Linked DNA regions of Arabidopsis thaliana. The protein of the gene in region 1 interacts with the protein of each later gene in a pairwise test. Each region holds a gene or a part of one and is shown in the gene's direction. Other genes may lie near its edges.

The links.
Region 2: the proteins of SAD1 (region 1) and AT1G54380 interact in a two-hybrid assay, tested with the Arabidopsis thaliana proteins (one large-scale study listed by BioGRID).

Annotation. Positions count from the first base shown.
Region 1 is NC_003076.8:19,808,497-19,818,269, forward strand, and holds SAD1 (Small nuclear ribonucleoprotein family protein), read left to right. Parts: upstream 1-4,849; 5' UTR 4,850-4,910; coding exon 4,911-4,944; intron 4,945-5,060; coding exon 5,061-5,184; intron 5,185-5,610; coding exon 5,611-5,683; intron 5,684-5,830; coding exon 5,831-5,866; 3' UTR 5,867-6,058; downstream 6,059-9,773. Other genes in the region: AT5G48860 (uncharacterized protein), read right to left, coding at 3,155-3,415, 4,103-4,369; KAT5 (peroxisomal 3-keto-acyl-CoA thiolase 2), read right to left, coding at 6,080-6,171, 6,256-6,339, 6,422-6,530, 6,614-6,737, 6,805-6,901, 6,982-7,114, 7,193-7,270, 7,339-7,446 and 6 more. UniProt on the Arabidopsis thaliana protein: Component of LSM protein complexes, which are involved in RNA processing. Component of the cytoplasmic LSM1-LSM7 complex which is involved in mRNA degradation by promoting decapping and leading to accurate 5'-3' mRNA decay.
Region 2 is NC_003070.9:20,291,212-20,302,618, reverse strand, and holds AT1G54380 (spliceosome protein-like protein), read left to right. Parts: upstream 1-1,639; 5' UTR 1,640-1,719; coding exon 1,720-2,497; intron 2,498-3,374; coding exon 3,375-3,537; intron 3,538-3,627; coding exon 3,628-3,808; intron 3,809-3,906; coding exon 3,907-4,332; 3' UTR 4,333-4,814; downstream 4,815-11,407. Other genes in the region: AT1G54385 (ARM repeat superfamily protein), read left to right, coding at 1-854, 932-1,330; NHX5 (sodium hydrogen exchanger 5), read left to right, coding at 5,490-5,673, 5,763-5,814, 5,898-5,957, 6,060-6,084, 6,159-6,244, 6,323-6,434, 6,543-6,605, 6,727-6,746 and 13 more; TAF6B (TBP-ASSOCIATED FACTOR 6B), read right to left, coding at 9,459-9,757, 9,847-9,958, 10,063-10,188, 10,399-10,531, 10,615-10,739, 10,836-10,931, 11,024-11,161, 11,241-11,317 and 1 more.

The DNA of each region.
Region 1 (9,773 bases):
ACTCGGTTAAATTTAAGCAAATTCGGTTTCAGCTTAAAATTATACTGCCACATCACTTGGTGACTTCTTACCACGTAGGTGAACGAGCAAAACGTGTTGTTTTACAATTACCATTGCTTTTTGTCTTTTTCTACATATTTTGTGTCTTTTTATGGAGTATTAATTTGGGTTTAACCGTCAAATAATTTATGTTGCATGTAAGTATTCACTATTACGGTGTGTAAAAGAAGATCTTTCGATGGTCTTGTGCCCATTTCCGACTTGACTACTCGGTCAAATATTTTAGCGTAATTCGGTTTCAGCTAAAGGTTTTTAGACTTATCGATTTAATGGTGTGAAAAACGGTCAATTATATTCATTTACAAGTTTAAGGATTTTGTTGTTATGTGTATATGAATTTTCGAGTTTGCAAATTCGTACACAAATTTGGACAAGAATCAACTATAGCTTATGTATTTTTGAATAATTTGTGGTTTTTACCATTTTTAAATAATAAAATTATGATTTAACATGCATTTTACCTTTTATATTTGGATTTAGTCAGTTCTATTTATTTTTAAAATTTAGTATTTAATATACAATATGTATTTTGCGAAAAAAATATCGTACATACGTATATTTTTAAATATTAAAAATAATAAATACGTAAAATTTTAGTAAAAATGACATTTTTAAAACAAAATATCAAAAAATGGTAAACTAGACAATAATACCATTTTATGATTGCGAATTGCTTCCAATGACATCATGGGGAGGTGGATCACATGGTGCCACAACCAGCTTTAGAAACTCAAGGTGGCTCAAGATTCAACAGCCCATGATGGCTCAAGATCTGAGTATCTGACGAACAAATTAAATGACAATATTATTTTTAAGTCAATACTTTTCAGTTTTTCTAATATTTGTTTTAACTTCTATTTATTGTAGTTTAATTATAATTAATACATTACATTTAATTTTAAATTTTATAGTAAAAATCTGCATGAAAAAATATATAATCTTTTTTACGATATGTTTTGTGATAGTTAGTATGTAATACTTGTTTTGTTTTCCATGCCTAATTCGGCCAAACAAAGATTAACTAAGTCAAACAAGCTGCTAATATGGTAAAACGGTCCATTAGAACATCGGCCCATTAAGACAACGGCTCGACCCAAATAAAGATGGTTCAACTCAACATAACAGTGGCTTAGTCTAGTAATATTTTAGCTCGGTCCATTTTAGTTTGGCCCAACCTGATAGATTCGAAAAGATAAAAAGGAGAAATCGCAAGAGAGACAAAGAGAAGCGTATATCAGCTCTTTGCCTATAATTAGCAGAAGACACTATACAGAAAAGGATTCGGACCACAAGTCATTACTTAGGTCAGCTCGTCGCATAAATTTATTTTGGACGAAATATCTTTGATTTTTTTTTTTTGTCAATTTGGATAGTACCATCACAAACATCATCCTTTACATATATAGTGAATAACTAATCATTCAAATGTTTTACTAGTCAATCCATTGTTCATTTTTTTTTTCTTTTGTAGTGATATTCAGATTTTATTCAATTGCACATAATAAATTTTAGTATCCATTAGAAAAAATGGCCTCACAGAAAAAAGTTTATCAGTTAAAGTAGTATCTAGATTTATGTTTATAAGGTTTTACTATCTATTTTAGGTACTTTCTTTACTTTTCTTAGCTTAAATTATAATTCATGTTTCAGAGATTAATCAGTCCATTCTTGTACACATGATCAGTTGCAAATACCATTAAAAAGAAGTCGGGGATGTACTGTGGGAATATAAGTACTATACTATAAGCAGATTCGATCCCAACTAGTGCAAAGCATTTCAATCTTCATTACAAAAGAAAAAAGTAGCAAACAAAAAAGCATTATCTAAATTTAATTATCCAATCGTCATTAGAATCATTGAAAAGGATATAATTGATTTTAATATCTAAGTGGTAACCACATCAATAATTATAAACTTTATTATAGAAAAAAAAACGTAGCGAATCATCGTCACTCTCAGTCGTTTTGTGGCATATACAATAATAAGCCAAAACACAATGAATCTGGACAATTTGCGAGGCATTATTCACTAGTTTACAAGACTTGCCGCTCACTGATAAACATTTTGGACCACAAAGCAATAAGGCAAATAGTGTTTTCGGGGAATACAAAAATATACAATAATTCTACGGACTTGAGACTTAGCTATAAGTCAATATTGAATATTTTATAGAAATCCGAGACTAGTGGAGACATCGCATGAATTAAGACGGTTTATCAGCATTATTCAAGATTGATTTGGTTTGCATCTAACTAACATGATTAAAAATAAGAACCATTGATTAATTCATTCCTTAGAGTATGGGTTCATGCTTGCATATAAATCACTCGTTCGATTTATTTCGTATTACATCTATTTATTCTGTTTAGGTGCAAAGCCGGTCTTAATAGAATATTGTCTTGAGAACATACATATATAAACTGTCATTGTTTCTATCTCCATAAATTTTGAAATCGATCCTAACTAGTTGAATAATCCCTCTATACCAAGAAGGCAAGAACCGACATTTGAATTAATTTAACCAATTATCTTCCACAATTACTTTCTTTTTGTTGTCCATTGTTCTTCATTTACTTTTGGGTTGAATTTATGAACTCAACAAGTCAACAACATTTTATGAATCATATCAATTTTGGGTACACAATCGTGAAGATAATAACGGAGAAAGCTTGCTAAAGACTTAAAAGTGGTGTTTGTGAAGCAGTCTATATGGCCCACTATTAAACATATGTGATATCATGCATGAGTTTTGGTTACTCATTCAAAAGTATGCTGAACAATTCTTTTTTTGTTTTCAAAAATTACGGGTATGTTAGATTATTTTGAGTTAACTAAAAAGCATAGAAGATTAAAAAAATGTTACATTTTTTATATAAAATATTACAACTACATCTAGTGCCGGCTTAGCACATGTGCTTAAGGTGCTAGGACATATGGTCTAGGGTCCAAAAAAAAAAAAACATGATATGATTACATAATAGCACTGGATCTACAAAATGTTTGAGCCGGTCCTGACTACATCACATAATTTCATGCTAATGTTTTTGTGTGTTCTTACGCCTAACGTCTTCTCTACACAAAACAAAAACATGATCATGATTTAGATTTGGCTGAAAACAGAGTTCTTGATTTGAATTTGACTGGAAAAATGTTTCTTGATTTGGTTGAAACATGTTTTCTTATTCGCCTTACTCTCGGATACCTCGTAGCTGAGAAGATATGGACATTGTTCTTTATAGAAATAATGTAAAGCACGACTTCCATACCTTCTTGCAAGGATCTTTGATAAGTTCCTATCCTCATTAACATGTGTTGCACCTTGTTTTTCGATCCTCTAAGCTTCCAAGTATATGACTACAACAACGAGATTGAATATCTAATGATACAAATGGTATCTTAACTATATACTTTCTTTTCAATTCTTCTGGTAATGTGTATTTAACAATTAATTTTGCTAATCTTGGATGTAGCTTTGCACATGGATTGCTACAGATTAGAGCTGTCACAGCGGGCTGTCCATGTCCATTAGCCCAGTCCAATAATGTCCATTTCGATATTGGACAAATAGTGTTCATGTCCACTAAGGCACATGTCCATTAACGCCCGTGCCCATTAATGTCCATGTCCAAATGGGTTGTCCAATAGGCATAACAAAACCAAATTTTAACACAATAGTATTTGCTTCAGCAAGATGCTTGAATGTTTCTTTGTAAATAATCGCTCTAGAGAGCATTAGATGTGTAGAATTCCATTTTGTGCTTACTACCAATTCTTTTTTCTGTTTAAGTAACTCATATTAGTGAGCTAAGCTTTTGATATTTGCAGTTTCATGAATACACGGTGTCAAAGGACCAAGCTTCATAGTTCATACTATGCATAATGCAGACAATGAACACTATATCAAACAATAGTAACAGAAATCGAAAGAGACCCATGTCAAAATCACTCTCAATAAGCAAAAAACAGTAACAAAAAATCATTTCGAATTGAGTAATCAAAAACCCAGATCGAATTGAGTAAAAATGACGAGAATTTGCTTACTTGAACTGGATTAGGAATCTCAGGAGGATCCATGATGTGATGGAGTTGAGATGTTGAAGGAACTCGCCGGAGAAATCGCCGGAAAGAAGAAATCGCCAAATAAGCGTCGGGGAAATGTTTTTTCCCCAAATTTATTTTTGCCCGAACACTTAAACCTAATATTTTTTGACCATTGGGCCGCCCATGTCCATCACGTCCAGTCCGCTGATGCCCATGTCCGTTAACGCCCATGTCCATTAATGCCTGCTTCATAATGGGCTTGTCCATGCCCGGTCCATTAGGCGTTGGACACGGGCCACTCGTCCATTTTGATAACTCTACTACAGATCAATCGTTCAAAGAAATAATAAAATCTCAGTAGACCTATGTTTGGAAGAAACAAGAAAATTTCATAGATCCGTATAATGGATCCATGATTCAAGATTAGCATAATTAAATTCGAAAGTAAATTGACCTTATAACTAAAGTAAAGTGAATTAGGTGGTTACAGTTTTTTCCAATGACATTGTAACATAATATCTTACAAAAGCCAATATTACTATTTGAAAGGTACTTCCGTACTAGTAATGTAGGGATTTGAGACGTGATTATTTATCCTTAATATTCTAATTAGATTGAAGGTTTATATATTAAGTTTTCCATAGTTAAAAGTCAATCTTGAAACAAAAAGATAGTTTGAGGGTTCTCTTGTAAATTTCCTAAAAGTAAAACATTAATACCCTAAAAATCGAAAAATCAGAAAAAGCTTCGGAGCAAGAAAAATCAGAGAAAATTCAAAAACCCTTCACTTGCCTCACTGTTCTTCGTCATGGCGAACAATCCTTCACAGCTTCTTCCTTCAGGTATGCAATTTTTTCTTCACATCTCTCACTTTCCACCTTCTTATATGTAAGAAAATCGAACTAGATCTGCGATTTTTTGGTTTTCAATTTTTGAGCGATTTGGTTTGTTTGTGCAGAGCTAATCGATAGGTGTATAGGGTCTAAGATTTGGGTGATAATGAAAGGAGATAAGGAGCTCGTTGGTATTCTCAAAGGATTCGATGTTTATGTCAACATGGTTCTTGAAGATGTCACCGAATAGTAAGTCTGATTTTAGGGTTTCGATTATTGCTTCATATCTTGTTTAATTGGAATGTTGCTTGATCTATTACACTTTAGGAGGTGAATCATAGACATTGAACCATGGATGTGATTATGCAGAACTTAGCCTTTTGGATTTTGTTTTTGGGTAATTGATCTCAATACTGATTTGTGAATGTCCATCACAGTTCATTCATTTGCTGATTAATGACATTTATTGTGTATGCATAGAGTCTATTTCAGCGGGGTCATATGTGGTTTCGGTGACTTGAGTTGTTTGTGGTTGTGTGAGGATTAGTTAATTGATGCTTAAACCCGTGTTGCTTTGGAGTTAGGATCTCATAGATTCAAGTTTTGATTGTAACAAATTCTTGATTGAATTGTAACTAGAGTGTGTTACTAATTTATCTAAGCATCGTTGTGTAGTGAGATTACGGCAGAAGGAAGACGGGTCACAAAGCTTGATCAGATTCTACTCAATGGCAACAACATCGCCATTGTAAGTAAAAAAACACTTGTGGTTACTCATAGCCATACGTTGTATAAACTTCCTTGTGATGAATTTTCAAGTATCTTGATATAAACAGTTGGTCATTTGAATAGTCAAATTGCTAAGAAACTGGTGTTGAAAATGTTTGTGATGCAGCTGGTGCCAGGTGGGTCTCCCGAAGATGGAGAATGAGATTTGCGAGATTTGATTGGTGTTTTCAGACTTGTGTGAGGAAGGATGTAACTTTTGGTTTTAGATTTAACACTTTGTTCAGAGAAAAGTAGTTGATTTTAAACTCAGAATGACAAAAGTTTTCATTGTTCAGCAATGTGAAAGAGCTAAAGCATCATATTTATTAGACTCAATGCATCATTACTTCTACTTATTCAAGCTCTCTTCGATGTTCTAATGACTATCCCCGTTAGCCACACGAGCGTTGGACAAGTTATCAACAGAGTCTCCCCTCTCAAAAACAGCTGCAGCTCCCATTCCAGTGCCTGTGACGTTCGCATTTTACATATACCATTAACATAGGTAATCATTGATCCAATTCAATCTGAAAAAAAATCTTATATATATACCTATGCACATTGAGATTACTCCAAAGCGGCAATCTTTTCCTCTCCGCTTCATCTCGTGCAACAATGTCGCAACACATCGAGCTCCTGAACATATAGAAAAGAACTCTATTAGCCTGTAACAAATGTTGCATTTTATTTAGTTACGACAAGCTTGGTAAGTAGTAACCTGTAGCACCCAGGGGATGGCCAATAGCAATGGCTCCTCCATTAACATTGACCTTTTCCATATCCAGCTCTAACTTCTTGCAAGAGTACACATACTGAGATGCAAATGCCTGTTTAACAATGCAACAATAAAGATTTATATGTATGTATTATTCCGAAACAGGAAAAAAACCAATGTGAAATATTTTGTTACCTCATTGATCTCGAATAGATCAATATCGCTGACGTTGAGCCCTGCGAGCTTAGTTGCAGCGGGAATGGCAACAGCTGGACCAATACCCATTACAGATGGTTCCACACCAGTAACAGCAAAACTCCTGCATTGTTCCGGAATCAGATTTGCTCGGTTTCTTGAACTGGCAAAATGTTGTATATTCATTTTACCTGAATACTCCAAGAATGGGAAGTCCCTTCTTCATAGCCAAACTTCTCTTCATTAGCAGTACTGCTCCAGCACCATCACTGATCTGACTAGCATTGCCTACACAAAACACATATACTTAAATGCTTCAATCTATGATCTCACTTATGCCAGTGATAGTTAAGAGAGTTGTTTCTAACCAGCTGTGGTGGAACCGTTCTGTTTAAAGACAGTCTTCAGCTTTGCCAAATCTGCCATGTTTGAGTTTGGACGTACACCGTCATCAACAGATACGACGATTGCCTTCTCTGCTTTAGTCTCAGGGTCCACAATCTGTCAAGAACAATATCATTTACTGAGAAAGCTCTACCAAAAGGGCTTTAAAGGAAGTTTGGGAGGTTCTTGTTTTACCTTAGTAGCAACAGGAATGATTTCATCCTTGAGTTTACCAGACGCGATTGCAGCTGCAGCGCGTTTGTGAGACTCCACCTGATTATTACTGAATCAGTACTTATATGAACTAGAGAGGAAAAAAGTGAAGAGAATAACTAACTAACCGCAGCCATATCTTGCTCTTCTCTTGTGACACCGAACCTTTCTGCAACGTTTTCAGAAGTAATTCCCATTGGAAGCAAACAATCACGGGCTTTTGGGAAATCCTGTGCCTATTCCCATGTAGAGTTTACAAGATCATCACAAAACTCTTCTTGTTGAGTAAATTTATACACTCATTGTGATAGCTTACTCTTGGATTAGAGCCATGAAAGCCGCCTCCAGGAATATGATCAGTTGACATTGATTCCACTCCAGCACCAATACCTATGCAATTCACAAAGTTGAGAGAATCAATCCCATGGCCTATACAAGCAGCTAGAGACTACAAAAAACTGATGCAGCAGCATCTTACCAATGTCGTAATAACCAGCTCTAATGGAAGCAGCAACATCAGCAACTGCTTGTAGTCCTGATGAGCATTGTCTATTGACAGTTCTAACTGGCACGGAGTCTAGCTCGTAAAAGAGAAGGATGAAGAAACATATCAACAACTTGTGAGATATTAAGTTTATCTTGATTCTTGAATGAGATTTAGTACCAGGAAAACCAGCAAAATAAGCTGCAACTCTACACTCCATTGCTCTCTGAGAACCAGGCGCTATCACGGTACCAACAACGATATCACCAACTTCACTTGGATCCAAAGATGTTCTTTCCACTACAGCCTAATCAGAACAAACCATGAAACATAAGAAATCATTGATACTACTACTCCATGCATGCACAAGGTTTAATTGATGACTTACCTTAAGAACAGAAGCAAGAAGATCATCAGGAAGAGTGTCTTTGAAACCTCCACGTCTCGCTTTGCAAATGGCGGTACGATATGCCCTGAAGAAGAAGAAGAATCAAGAAACAAAGAAAACTAAAGAAAGTGAAAGTGAAGCAAACTCAATGAGTATACTTACGCTACAATCACAATGTCATCTCCAAAAGCAGCCATTGGGGAAACTTCAGAAACACAATTCACAGGCTAAAATTAACAAAAACACAAGTGAGTCACATAATAAAACAGAGTTAAAGATCATCAGCTTCCACAAACAATTTCAATGTCTAATTAAGACTCACGGATTAAGACAACTAAACTTACAGACAGAAGAGAAGGTTCATGTTTAAGAGAAGAATTAGAAGAAGAAACTGGATTGAGATGACGAAGCAATATCTTTTGTCTTTCCATAGCTCTCTCCATGATTCTCTCTGTTGCAAACACTTGTGTTGCAGCTGAATTCTAATGGTGATTGAAAGACAAAAACTTTCCGGGGAAACTGAAATGGGTTTGGTTGATTTTTCTGGAAAGGGGAAGACGTTAAGTACAATGAGCTTCAGGGTCCTCATTTTTATCGTGGGAGAGATTTTTGATCGATCGTTCTCAGTTCTCACAAGTCTGGTCTGATTGGCCTCGTTGCCAAAACCTTGTCTTGTCGTATTTGTATAAGTTAACGTCGTTACGAAAATATCGCATTTTGACATGTTTTACGCCACATACAAACTCACGCCGTTAAAAATGTGACCGGAAATTAATCGTCGGCAACTATAACTAAACCGGGCCACGTGGGAAGAATCTAACTTTTAAGCAATAAATGTTTCTTCTCATTTTGGGTATTAGTGATTTTGATAATTTGAGTAATTTACAAATTTAGAAGAATTTGAGATAATTTATAAAATTTTAGTGAATAATTTGGATATCCAGATAATATACATGATTTGTATTCTTTACCCACAAGAATTCATATCGGATATAGATTTAAGTTGTTTTGTTTAGTAAGAAAGAGTTAAGTATCCTTCAATTATTTTGTAAAATTCTCGTCCAAAAAATAGTTGTTGTGACTAGAATATACCATCTAATAAATCAATTTTGAGAGACTAAAACGGATTTTCTTAGATAAGTAAAGTCTTTAAGACTCGTAAAAGATAAGATGGAGAGAGGTCAAGAAAGTTACCCGACGGATGAATGAGCTAGTAAGAGTTCCAATAGATATCAAAATCTAAAAGTAGACAATATGCAAATGTTGAGATAACCGATTGTTCAAGATTATATATACAAAAATAGTGTTGAGAGTTAGATGAGGAGTGAAAGAAGTGACGTTGCATTTGGCAATTAACTCTTTTGCCATACTCTTTTGATCCTCCACCACTCTTCCTACCAACCTCCTTACTTATCTTTCATTTTTATGCCTACCTAACCTTCCATTCATGTTAGATTTCTTGCAAACCTAATTTCTTTTATTTGTTTATTAAGTATCTAACTTATTACATAAAGTAAGGTTTTGAACTGGTTTTGTTTTTCTATTTTAAAATGTTTAATTATCTATTTAAAAACAATAAATCAAATATTGAATTGATTAAATATGTTACTAGGTTTCTCTTAAATCTATACATATATATATATATGTTTTTCAATGGAGGTTGTCGTCGATTTCGATTCAGATTACTCCGA
Region 2 (11,407 bases), on another chromosome or scaffold:
CCTCTCAAGAGAGCCTTACTTCAGGGGCTGCTTTGTGTTTGAAGGCTCTTGTGGATAGTGACAATTGGCGGTTTGCTTCGGATGAGATGGTGAACAGGGTTTGTCAAAATGTGGTAGTTGCGTTGGACTCAAACTCCAACCAAACACATCTTCAAATGGGTTTGGTTATGTCACTTGCCAAGCATAATCCTTTGATTGTTGAAGCTTATGCAAGGTTGCTGATACACACGGGGTTGCGAATTCTAGGATTTGGAGTATCTGAAGGAAACTCGCAGAAACGATTATCAGCAGTCCAAATGTTGAACTTCCTTATGAAGTGCTTGGATCCGAGAAGCATATACTCGGAAGTTGAGTTGATAATAAAAGAAATGGAGAGGTGTCAATCTGACCAAATGGCTTATGTTAGAGGAGCTGCTTATGAAGCAATGATGACTTCAAAAAGAATAGCGGCAGAGCTCGAGTCGAAGATGGAGAAAGGTTGTCGTTCTGTTACTGGTTCGAATTTCAGTCGAAGAAACTGTTCGTCCATTGTTCCTGATTACTCCTTATCACCTGAATCACAGACTCTAGGCTCTTTTAGCGGGTATGATTCTCCGGTTGAGTCCTCGCCTATTTCTCATACTTCTTGTAACTCTGAATTTGATCGGAGGAGTGTGAACCGCAAACTTTGGAGACGTGATGAGAATGGAGGAGTGGTTGATATCTCTTTAAAGGATGGTCTTTTCTCCCGTGTAACTAAAGGAAGCACCACTGTCTCTGATTCACCTCTTGTACCGTATGATACTTGTGAAAATGGAGATGAATTTGAAGGGTTTCTAATGGAAAGTTTGAGAAACACCACTCCTAGTCCTCAGGTGAACATCAATCCATCTTTGTTGTATGTTTGTTAGTTTCATTTATGTTAAACATTTCTGACTTTTCTGATACACAGAGACAGCGTTCACGTCGCATCAATGCTGAAGATTTCAACATCTTCAGCACTCCACGGAAGCTAATCAGCTCTCTTCAATATCCTGATGATGTTGATTTAGATCATTCAGACATCCAAAGTCCAATACTGAGAGGCGAGAGAGAGAAAACCATAGGATCTCGCAAGAATCCTAAACTCAGAAAGCAATTTCCAACCATGGTGGAAACAATGTCATCAACTATCACAGTTAGTGAAGACACAGCTCAAACACAGATGATAACCGGTAAGAAGAAGAAGAAGAAGATGAGCTATGCCAAACTCGTTATTGCGATATCTTTTGTTGTGGTGGCTCTCTTCGCAACTGTGATATTGATGGTGAATCAAGATGATGATGTTGGTTACTACACTGTCCCTACATGATTCACCTCTTATTGGTGTTAAGTTTAATCGTAGTGTAGCAGAGAGAGTAGTTTAGCTATTTAATTACGTGTTAGTTGTTTGTAATGAACTTGATACAAGATGTAGTAGAATCTTCTTCTACTTGTTGTTCTCATTTTGTTTTGTATGGAAATGTTAAGAATATAAACGATGTTAGTACAAAAGGCTTCAAAAGAGAATGGTGTGTGGAATTAGCAGATATGCGGATCCGGTATAATCCGGGATGAGAACACATTGGCTATATTTATACATAGAACCGGTTCAAGGTTGATAATTTTTTCCGGTTTAATCAAACCGGTTCGAGCAATTTATTAGCTTCGAGAAAAGGAACAATTTATTCACTCGTTAAGGGTTTTGCGCACATCCGCCTCATGATGACAAACTCCGATTCCGACCACTGTACTCCGGCGAAAACCTCAATTTCTGGGGATGGATTAGAAAAAGAGAGCGACTTTAAGAAGCAACTGAACTCTGAGATAGATCCACAAGCTTCTTCCTCGCAAAACGATGCAATAACTATGGAAGATGGAGCCGTCTCTGTAAACAATAGGGATCTGCAAGAGATAAAGGAATCATCCTTCTCTAAAGGAAGTGAGCAATATCGAGTTGATGGAGCCCTTGAAGAAAGTTTGAATTTTGAGGAGAAGGAACAAGAATCTGAAGCTCAGAGACTATTGGAAGCAGAGAAGAGAAGATTGCTGGCTGAAATCGAACTTGGGTCAATCTTTAGGAAGAGTGTTGATGTGGATACGTTGCCTAAGATCGAAGAGACGATGGATAATGATGTTGATAAGATTGAATTGGTTGATCATACTGCGTTGGTTGATGTTGTTCATCATCCTAAGAGACCAGGGACTGCTCAAAATGAGAAGGATACACCTAGAAAGCTTAAGAAAATTGGAGATAAGAGAAATGTTATTGAGGGGAGTGGAGTAGAAAACAATGGGAAGCAGTTTAGGAGATTGTACACTAGGAAACAATTGGAGTCAATGAGGTTTGCCCACATTGTGAATCAGAAGAACCTGTGGAGTGAGATGTATTCTAGGATTCTACCTGAGGTGGTGACTGAGTATGAAAGTTTAGTTTATGTGAAGAATTACAAGAGTTCAAAGTCTAATCGTGTTCGTGGGCGAACGGAGAGTGGCAATGGTAATCTCGATAACCTCGCAGATGCTTTGTTTGTCTCTTATTCCTTGCATTCTTCACCTGACTGTTTTGTTTTTCTTGTTGTTGGTTGAGAATAACTTTAGGTGTATCAAATTTAGATAGATAGGTCTAAGAAATAGGAGTAAATATGTTGCACTTTTCCGGGTTTTGTGGTGTTTTCTTTCTCAAATGGGTCATCACATACAAATCCAGTCTGCTTTAGTATCAGTGAGTTTCGGCAGTGGTTTTTCCTATTAAACAACTTCAATGGTTTCTTGTTGCTAAGCATCTTTTTCATGGTTTGGATGTCTGTCTGTTTTCCTGCTCGAGAGCTCTTTTCGTGTTTCTTGATCTGTTCTTCATTTTTAATTCTTCCGTCAGTTCGAGTACATAACTTGTCGTTTTGATAGGGGCCTCTTATTTTCTTTTCCACAGGTCCCATATCTGCTGTACCAAGACGTAACTGTGTGAATATATTTGTACATTGAGCTGTCAGCTGAAGAGATTTGTCAAAGTCCATTTTTCACCAATTTTCTCGTTTCTTAGACACAATACAAGTCCCTTTTTTTCTTTCTTTTTTCTATGAGCTAACAGCCTAATACCTCATACATTCATTCTGTATATAGATTGTTTTGTTCAGGTTATAAAGGACATAGGAGTTTCTTTTGGTTCAAATTATATAGGGCCATTAGTCTTTGGCTAAAGTTGTACATGTTCATACATTTTCAATAAAAATAGTGCATTCACACTCAGAACCTTAAAGTTATTATGTATTTTGATGGACTTATTTCTTCTCTGTTTCTATGCACGCTCATTTCTGTTGTGTTTAGAAATCCTTTTGTTTGTTCCTGTTACTTACCTTGTATGATTATTTCTTCAGAAGAAAATTTGGGGACTGAAGAAGGAACGGAGGACCCTGAAGACTACACTGACGATAATGATGATTACAATAGCATTTTGAGACCTGCGTTTGAAGTAGATGGAGAACCTGATTTTAGTACTGGACCACCAGAAGATGGGCTTGAATATTTAAGACGAGTCAGGTATATTATCTCTCTGTTTCCATCTTTCTGTGTCTTTACACTTTTAAACTTTTGGTATTATGGTTAAGTTGTTTTGTTTCCTCAATTTAGGTGGGAGGCTAAGGGAATTCCGAATGTAAGAGTAGCCAAGATAGATGAAAGCACGTACATAAAGAAAGAGCAAAGTGTTTATATGCCACTAATTCCTGAAATCCCCAAATGTCCAGAGTACCTGTTACCCATGAAGGAATGGGAGGACTCGTTGCTTTTGGACTTTGTACACCTTCGCCAGGTATTTTTTCCTGATATTTCATCTGACTTACATGGTTGGTTAATAGCAGTCTCTCTCTTAATAGACGAAAATGAAAGTAAGTGTTGTTATTTTTACAGACTCTAACACAAAGTGCCAACAGCTGTGAGGATGAGATAATATCAAGTCAGTGTGTAGAAGATTTGCTTGTGGAGATGTTCAATAAGCATCTCCACACAGAGGAGGATGAGTCTTTTGGTGAGGTGGTAACAGACATACAAGGAATGGACTCGGTGACGCGGGTATCAAAGCTGAAAAAGCGTATATGTTTGGTTGAGAAGGAGAGCGGTTTACAGAGTAGCGATTGCAAATGGGTAGTAGCGTTGTGTGCATCATTGGAGACTCCTTTGGATGCCGATACTTGTGCTTGTCTAAGGGGTCTTCTGAGGAAGTGTGCTAGTGTTCGTGCAGAGACATCATTAGAGGTTGGAGATGAAGAAGTTATCACCATGGCAAATATGCTCATCACCATCGCCGGCAGATACTTTGGCCAAATGGGACAGTAATAAGTGAAGAAGAGAGTGGACATGACATGCCCTTACTTTTCTCTCATATGTGCTTTTGAATCTTACATGAGCTTTAATGCCATTTTTTGTAGTGTCCCCTTTGTTATGTCATCTGTGATGTTCGGAATCATCGTATTTGTGCGAAGTAAGCTCTTTTTTTTTGGGATCTTGTTGAGGTTATTGAGATCTTCACAACTTCCGTGGATCGGCTAGATAGAGTCTTCTTATCATACCGAGTTCTATCATTGTCATTGTTGAAGGAAATTACAAGAACTACGTTGCTGTAGTGGTTTCAATTTGTTACAATTCAGTTTAAGTGCTCTTTGTTTCTTCTTCGTTTGGATATTGCACCAAATAGTAGTCAGATACTACGTTTGGATGCAATCTTTGATATTATTGTTACAAAGAAAAAAAGAATAAAGAAAAACATGTAATACATATGTAATATACTTCGAAACATATGTAATTTTGCAGTTCCCAAAACAATGTTCTTTTTGTTTTTGACATGGTAATATGAAATTACTTTTATAAACAGATGTTTCAAATAATATTTGCGAATTTTAATATTTTTGGTTACAGAATTAGTTTGTACGAGTATGTTAGTTCTATCTTAATTATTAATAATTTAATAGATAATCATATTTTATCATAACAGAAATATTTTGTTTTATAATTTAGATGATAACCAATTTGAATTACTGATGACAGAAAAAATAGCAGTTTGAATTACTCATCCAAGAAAATACTAGTACTTAAAAGACATGTAATTATTAGATTAATTTAGTTTAACGCATTCAGACCAATAAGTAGATAATCTTACTACATACTGCAGCCGGCCTGAAGAACCTATGCATTATTTAAGCTATTGCTTATAAGAAAAATTAACTGTGATTATGTTATTATCTACTGGTCTAATAATGTTGTATAATGCTCAGTTTGGTGGACATTGGTTTCACTCTCGTCTATTGATTTCAAGATGTTACATTGTATGTTGGTTGTCCTGTGATTCATATCCGTGTACCAGTAAAAACTCAAAAATCCTCTTAAACACACAGAGAGACATGGTGACGATAAAACGACGGCGTATTTGCGGTTTGACTCTTGTTCCCCAAAGTCTCAACTCTCAAGGTCGTTGGGTGGTCCAATCTCAAATCTGAATGGAGGAAGTGATGATTTCTCCGGTGGAGCACGACCCTCAGGGCCAGGTTAAGCAGCAGCAAGCGGCCGGCGTTGGTATACTGCTTCAGATTATGATGCTCGTGCTTTCCTTCGTTCTCGGCCATGTCCTCCGCCGTCATCGATTCCACTATCTTCCTGAAGCCAGCGGTTCGCTTCTCATTGGTATAATCCTTTCTCTCTTCCTTTGGCTTTTGCTCTCTCTCTCTTTGATTTCTCTTATCCCTAGCTTCTTCTTCCGTCGTAATTTTCAGGTTTAATCGTCGGTATACTTGCTAATATCTCCGATACTGAGACTAGCATTAGGTTTTGCCCTCCTCCAAGTATCCCTGAGTTTTCCCTTTTATCGTTTCCTCGCTCACTGGTTTGTTCTTTCTACTCTGTATCAGGACGTGGTTTAATTTCCACGAAGAGTTCTTCTTCTTGTTTTTGTTGCCTCCCATCATATTATATCCTTTGCTTCAATATCTGCATTTCATCCTTCAAATTCGCTGCTGCTATGCTATGTATAATGGATGTCATTTTCCTTGACATCATTCATTTGTTTGAACCCAGTCAGGTTTCAGTCTTCAACCTGTAAGTGCTTATCTTTCTTTCTTCCACAATAGCTGACTTGAACAGTAGCTAAGATCATTTTTGTATGGATGCAGAAACCATTCTTTTCTAACTTTGGAGCCATTGTTACCTTTGCTATCATCGGAACTTTTGTCGCTTCAGTTGTTACTGGTGGTCTGGTGTAGGGATCATCACCCTCTTCTTTCTTAGCTTCTTTGTTTTGCTTCTACCTTATCTGTTTTTCCCGCCTTTTTTGCAGTTATCTTGGCGGCTCTATGTATCTCATGTATAAACTTCCCTTTGTTGAGTGTCTTATGTTTGGTGCACTTATATCAGCTACGGACCCTGTCACTGTACTCTCTATATTCCAGGTGCTTCTGCTTTTCCTTTTACTATCAGTTTCCACAGGATACAAGTATTCGCATGTATTTTCCCTAAAATGATGCCTTGCATTGTGATGAACATTTATTTGATGGCAGGATGTGGGCACCGATGTTAACCTGTATGCTTTGGTCTTTGGAGAATCAGTTCTGAATGATGCTGTGAGTTTTTATTATCTGCTGCGATATTGGGCTCTTCCTTTTAAGTATATATGCAAACGAAAAACCACAACACTCACTAACTCCATCAAATGGGTTTTCGTGTATGTGGTGCGCCTCGTAGATGGCAATATCATTGTACAGGTCTGTATATCACATGATTCTTTTCCTTTTAGATACCTTTTAAGCAAAGTATTAAAGTACAATATAAAAACTTTCGATGCAGAACAATGTCCTTAGTAAACCGCCAGTCCTCGTCTGGGGAACATTTTTTCATGGTGGTGATCAGGTTTTTTGAGACTTTTGCTGGCTCAATGTCTGCAGGTCTGTTTGCTCTTATTCCTTCTTGATCCTTCATCACAGTTTTTATAACAATATTAGTCTCATCAAAGTCCCTCCTACCAAACTAGACGCACTATTATCTAAACAATGAACAAAAGACTAGTCGACTAGGTTTCTTTGTGAAGATTCATAGAACCAAAATAAGCAATAATTAACTTGAACTGAAACGGTCGTATTAGTTACCCTTTGAATCAGGGAATCTTTTTCTTTTAAAGTCCTTCACAGTCACATATACATCTACATATATAAGACCTGATTTTTTTCTATATATATAAGACCTGTTATTTTCTTCGTTTTCTTTTCTCCCAGAATAAATAGTTCTGCCAATAGCTTCTAACCGATTCCTTCATCGACTTCATATATTGCTTAAACATACTAACAGTCTTAATATTATTCTGCAGGGGTTGGGGTTGGATTCACTTCAGCTTTAATATCCTTCCTCGAATCCTCTATTTTTCTTATTAGATGTCACATGGCCAAAAATGTATTGTAAAATCTTAACTCAGAACACCTCTTTAAGTATGCAGGATTGGACACCGAGAAGTAAGTGCCATATCTTTTCTTAACTCTTTCTATACTGTTGTATTTACATTGTTAATACTCTCTGAACATATTGTAAATGTAATGTCTCTGTTTTCTCTTTTCTCTACCTCAGTCTTCAGAACTTGGAGTGTTGTCTCTTTGTACTTTTCCCGTATTTTTCGTAAGTAGACAAAACAACTCTCCTCCTGTCTCTTCGTATTTATGACAACACTTCTTCCCCCTAATGTATTCTGGTTATTCTGTAAGATACATGCTTGCAGAAGGTGTTGGTCTCTCCGGCATTGTTTCTATACTCTTCACAGGAATTGTAATCGCCGAGTCATTGTAGCTTTTACATCTTAGTTGATGTTAATATCTTGGAAAGACATATTTAGGCTGCCTAATATAGTGCTACTGTAGGTTATGAAGCGCTACACTTTCTCAAATCTCTCAGAAGCTTCACAGAGTTTCGTATCTTCTTTTTTTCACTTGATATCTTCGCTAGCAGAAACTTTCACGTGAGTCCAGAGCAATAACATCCATTGTTGGATAACAATTTCTACGCTTAAAGTTCTATTAGATTGATATTGATTTGTTTAATGCTTTTCTAGGTTCATTTACATGGGATTTGATATTGCCATGGAGCAGCATAGCTGGTCCCATGTTGGGTTTATCCTTTTCTCTATTGTATCCTCATTTACTGATCGTCAGTGATTGTATGCAGTGTTAGTCAGTGTTGTAAATCCTTGACTTTACCTTTTGCTTCTGCGTTTCATGACTGACATCAGTTGTTTATTGGCGTGGCTAGGTGACTAAATGCTTTTTTATCCTGGCTGATCGCTTCATTATCACCATGGTTTTCGATTCGGATTTACCTATATGTTCTGCAATGCTTTTCTCACGCAGGGCTGTCAATGTATTTGGGTGTGCATATTTGGTCAACCTATTTAGACAGGAGAACCAGAAGATACCTATGAAGCACCAAAAAGCCCTTTGGTATAGTGGTGAGTTGAGCTAATAGCTTTTGTTCTTGTCTCCTGATGCCCATTTTTATATCTACAAACTATTAAAACTTGTACACATATTGGCACATCGATAGGACTTCGAGGGGCAATGGCATTTGCACTTGCACTTCAATCACTTCATGATCTACCAGAGGGTCACGGCCAAATCATCTTTACTGCAACCACAACTATTGTTGTTGTCACGGTAACTTTCGTATTCTCTCCATGAAAAGCATCTATGTTATTTCCAGTGGTAGTATACATAAGAATCAGCGAGAGTTGGAGAATAATACATAGGCTGCGTTTCTTATCCATTGCAGTAATATTTCAGGTTTTACTAATAGGAGGTTCGACAGGTAAAATGTTGGAAGCTTTGGAAGTTGTAGGTGACGATCTTGATGACTCCATGTCTGAAGTAAACTCTCGACGATCTACTCTAATATCTTTGAAGTAAAGTTGTGTATGTACTTTTTCTAACGCTCCCAGATACGTGGTTAGGGCTTTGAAGAGAGCGATCATCAGTATGTCCCTCCTCCTTTTAGCATTGGAGCTTCATCTGACGAGGATACATCATCATCAGGAAGCAGGTTCAAGATGAAGCTGAAGGAGTTTCACAAAACGTAAGAATAAGAGAATGGCTTAGTATGTTTTCCTGAGTAAAAAGCGATATTTGCAATTTTTTGGGACTCACTTGACAAAACTTTGCAGCACTACATCATTCACCGCGTTGGACAAAAACTTTCTGACTCCGTTCTTCACAACTAATAGTGGAGATGGAGATGGAGATGGGGAGTAGCATGGAAAAGATGTGTATTTGTGGTCCAGGCCAAGCTATAATTAGAGTACACATATGTCTATGTAAGATTAACACTGGTTGATTTTACCTCTCGCAAAATGCCCACTATAAAGTTGACGATTTCCAAGACATTTCGAAATATTATATAGATGTATTTATTGTGGTACATACAATTACCATGTCAATAATCTATTACAAGAAGAAACTGAGCTCATGTGTGGGGGTGAACATAAGCATGCTCTCACCAAAATACTCAAAAAGAGGAAAGAGATAGTTGTCGACGTCAGTGCCTGCAGCAGCTGAAGTCTTCGGAGCAATTGTTGAGGGACTATTGTGGTGCCGTGCATCTGCATCTGTGTGGGACTGTTGAGGGACTGTTGTGGTTCCGCGCATCTGCATTTGTGTGGAGCTCATTTGTATAATTCCCCCTACTGCTATCTTCTTCAGTGGTGGTTGATGAGTTAAGTTGTCACTGCTTGCTTTGCGTTTACCTTGGCCGAAGAAAAAAATTATTTAAGAACGCGTATCTCCGTGTTTAGAACGCCAAAAGAAAAAAAAAGAATGAGACCAGATTTTATACTTTGCCTGGGGCTGGTGAGCTTTCCATTTGTCTTCCAGACAGAGCTAGTTGGAGGAGACAGCAGTGTCTCAGATGTTTTAAGCCGTTCATATAGGCATCGACCAGCTGCCACCTATGGAAAGTTAAAGTTTATATGCTCTCCTGCCTGTTTTGCAACACGAGATTGAAAGCAAACAAGTTTTCTAATTTCTGTATCAAACTAGAAAGCATACTCACCATCAACGCTCCATAAACAAGCCAAGCCCCATGCCTCTTAGCTTCTTCCTTCTGCTTCTCAAGTCCCATTTCAGGTAAAAGAAGCAGCAAATACGGCCCTAGGTTTGGGAGAACAAGAAAGCGAACCTAGACAAAGGTATAAAGCAAGAAAATACTTACGGACGACCAAAGGATATATATCTTAAGGTTCAATTGCAGGTTTAATAACTTTATCGAGGATGTCGGATCATGCTACTATTAGTTTTAAACTTATGCTTTCTTATGTAAAAATTCTAGACGCACAACCTAAAGTGCTACTCTTCGTTATGATAATCAAGAAGCATCAAGAGGAAGTACCATATTAAGCCCAAGGGCTACCATCCCTTGAATTGCCCCATAGTGTTGTGGGAGTGCCTTGGTTGGGTCCAAAAAGGTATGAAGCAGTGATCTTGTGACACGTGGCAACAAATTGTGATAAACGTGTCCAAACCTGTAAAAAGTTCACTAATGTGATTGCAAGTTATATGGTTGTATAAGATGCATGAAATCACAAAGCAAGAATGTAACATTAACCTTTTGCACGTTGAAGCAACTGTGCTGGCAGTGAAGTTTCTCAAGTCCCAGTGATTATCAGATGACCTTCTTCCTAAGCGCTTGGCAATAAGGCAAGTGATAATAGACGGCATCAACTGATGCAGCTGAACAGAATACAACAAGTTAAAAGTCAACAGAAGGAGGAGAAGGGAGAAGAGAAACAAAAAAAAACAAAAAAAAAGTGTGCGCACAAAACTTACATATGGCTCAATATGTACATGAGGGTTATGAAGGAGGCTTCTAGCAAGACGCATCAAAGCCAACAAGATTGGATAATTATCCATGTTTTTGACAATCTGGAGAAATTGCAAGCACAAAAAAAGTAGTGAAAATGTGGTCAAGTTAGAATAAAAGTCAAGACTAGAAGTGTTGGATTACAAAGACAAACCTCTTCAGCGATGAAAGAAGTGAAAAAGGGAACTAATGGGTGGAGTCCAGGATCAATTTCCAAGCTGGCGAGTGCTTGTCTAAAGAGGGTGGAGCCAGATTGAGTCAAAGCCCACTCCGTGACTTTGTCAAAGTAAATCTGCATCGAGAGCAAGCAAGGATTATATAGCATTCAAAGAGCGAGGTAAAGACCCAAAAAAAGAAGGGAGTAAAATAACCTGAAGGTCCTTAGAAAGCACCTGTCTAGCAGCCAAGCCATCGTCCTTATATTCCGATCGTTTAAGGTCAGATATGGCTACAAATTGTCATGGAAGAGGGATTAGAAGGAGAAGTAGTAGGTGATGCAAAAGAAGACAAAAGAAATACCTTGGAGAGGAGAATTCTG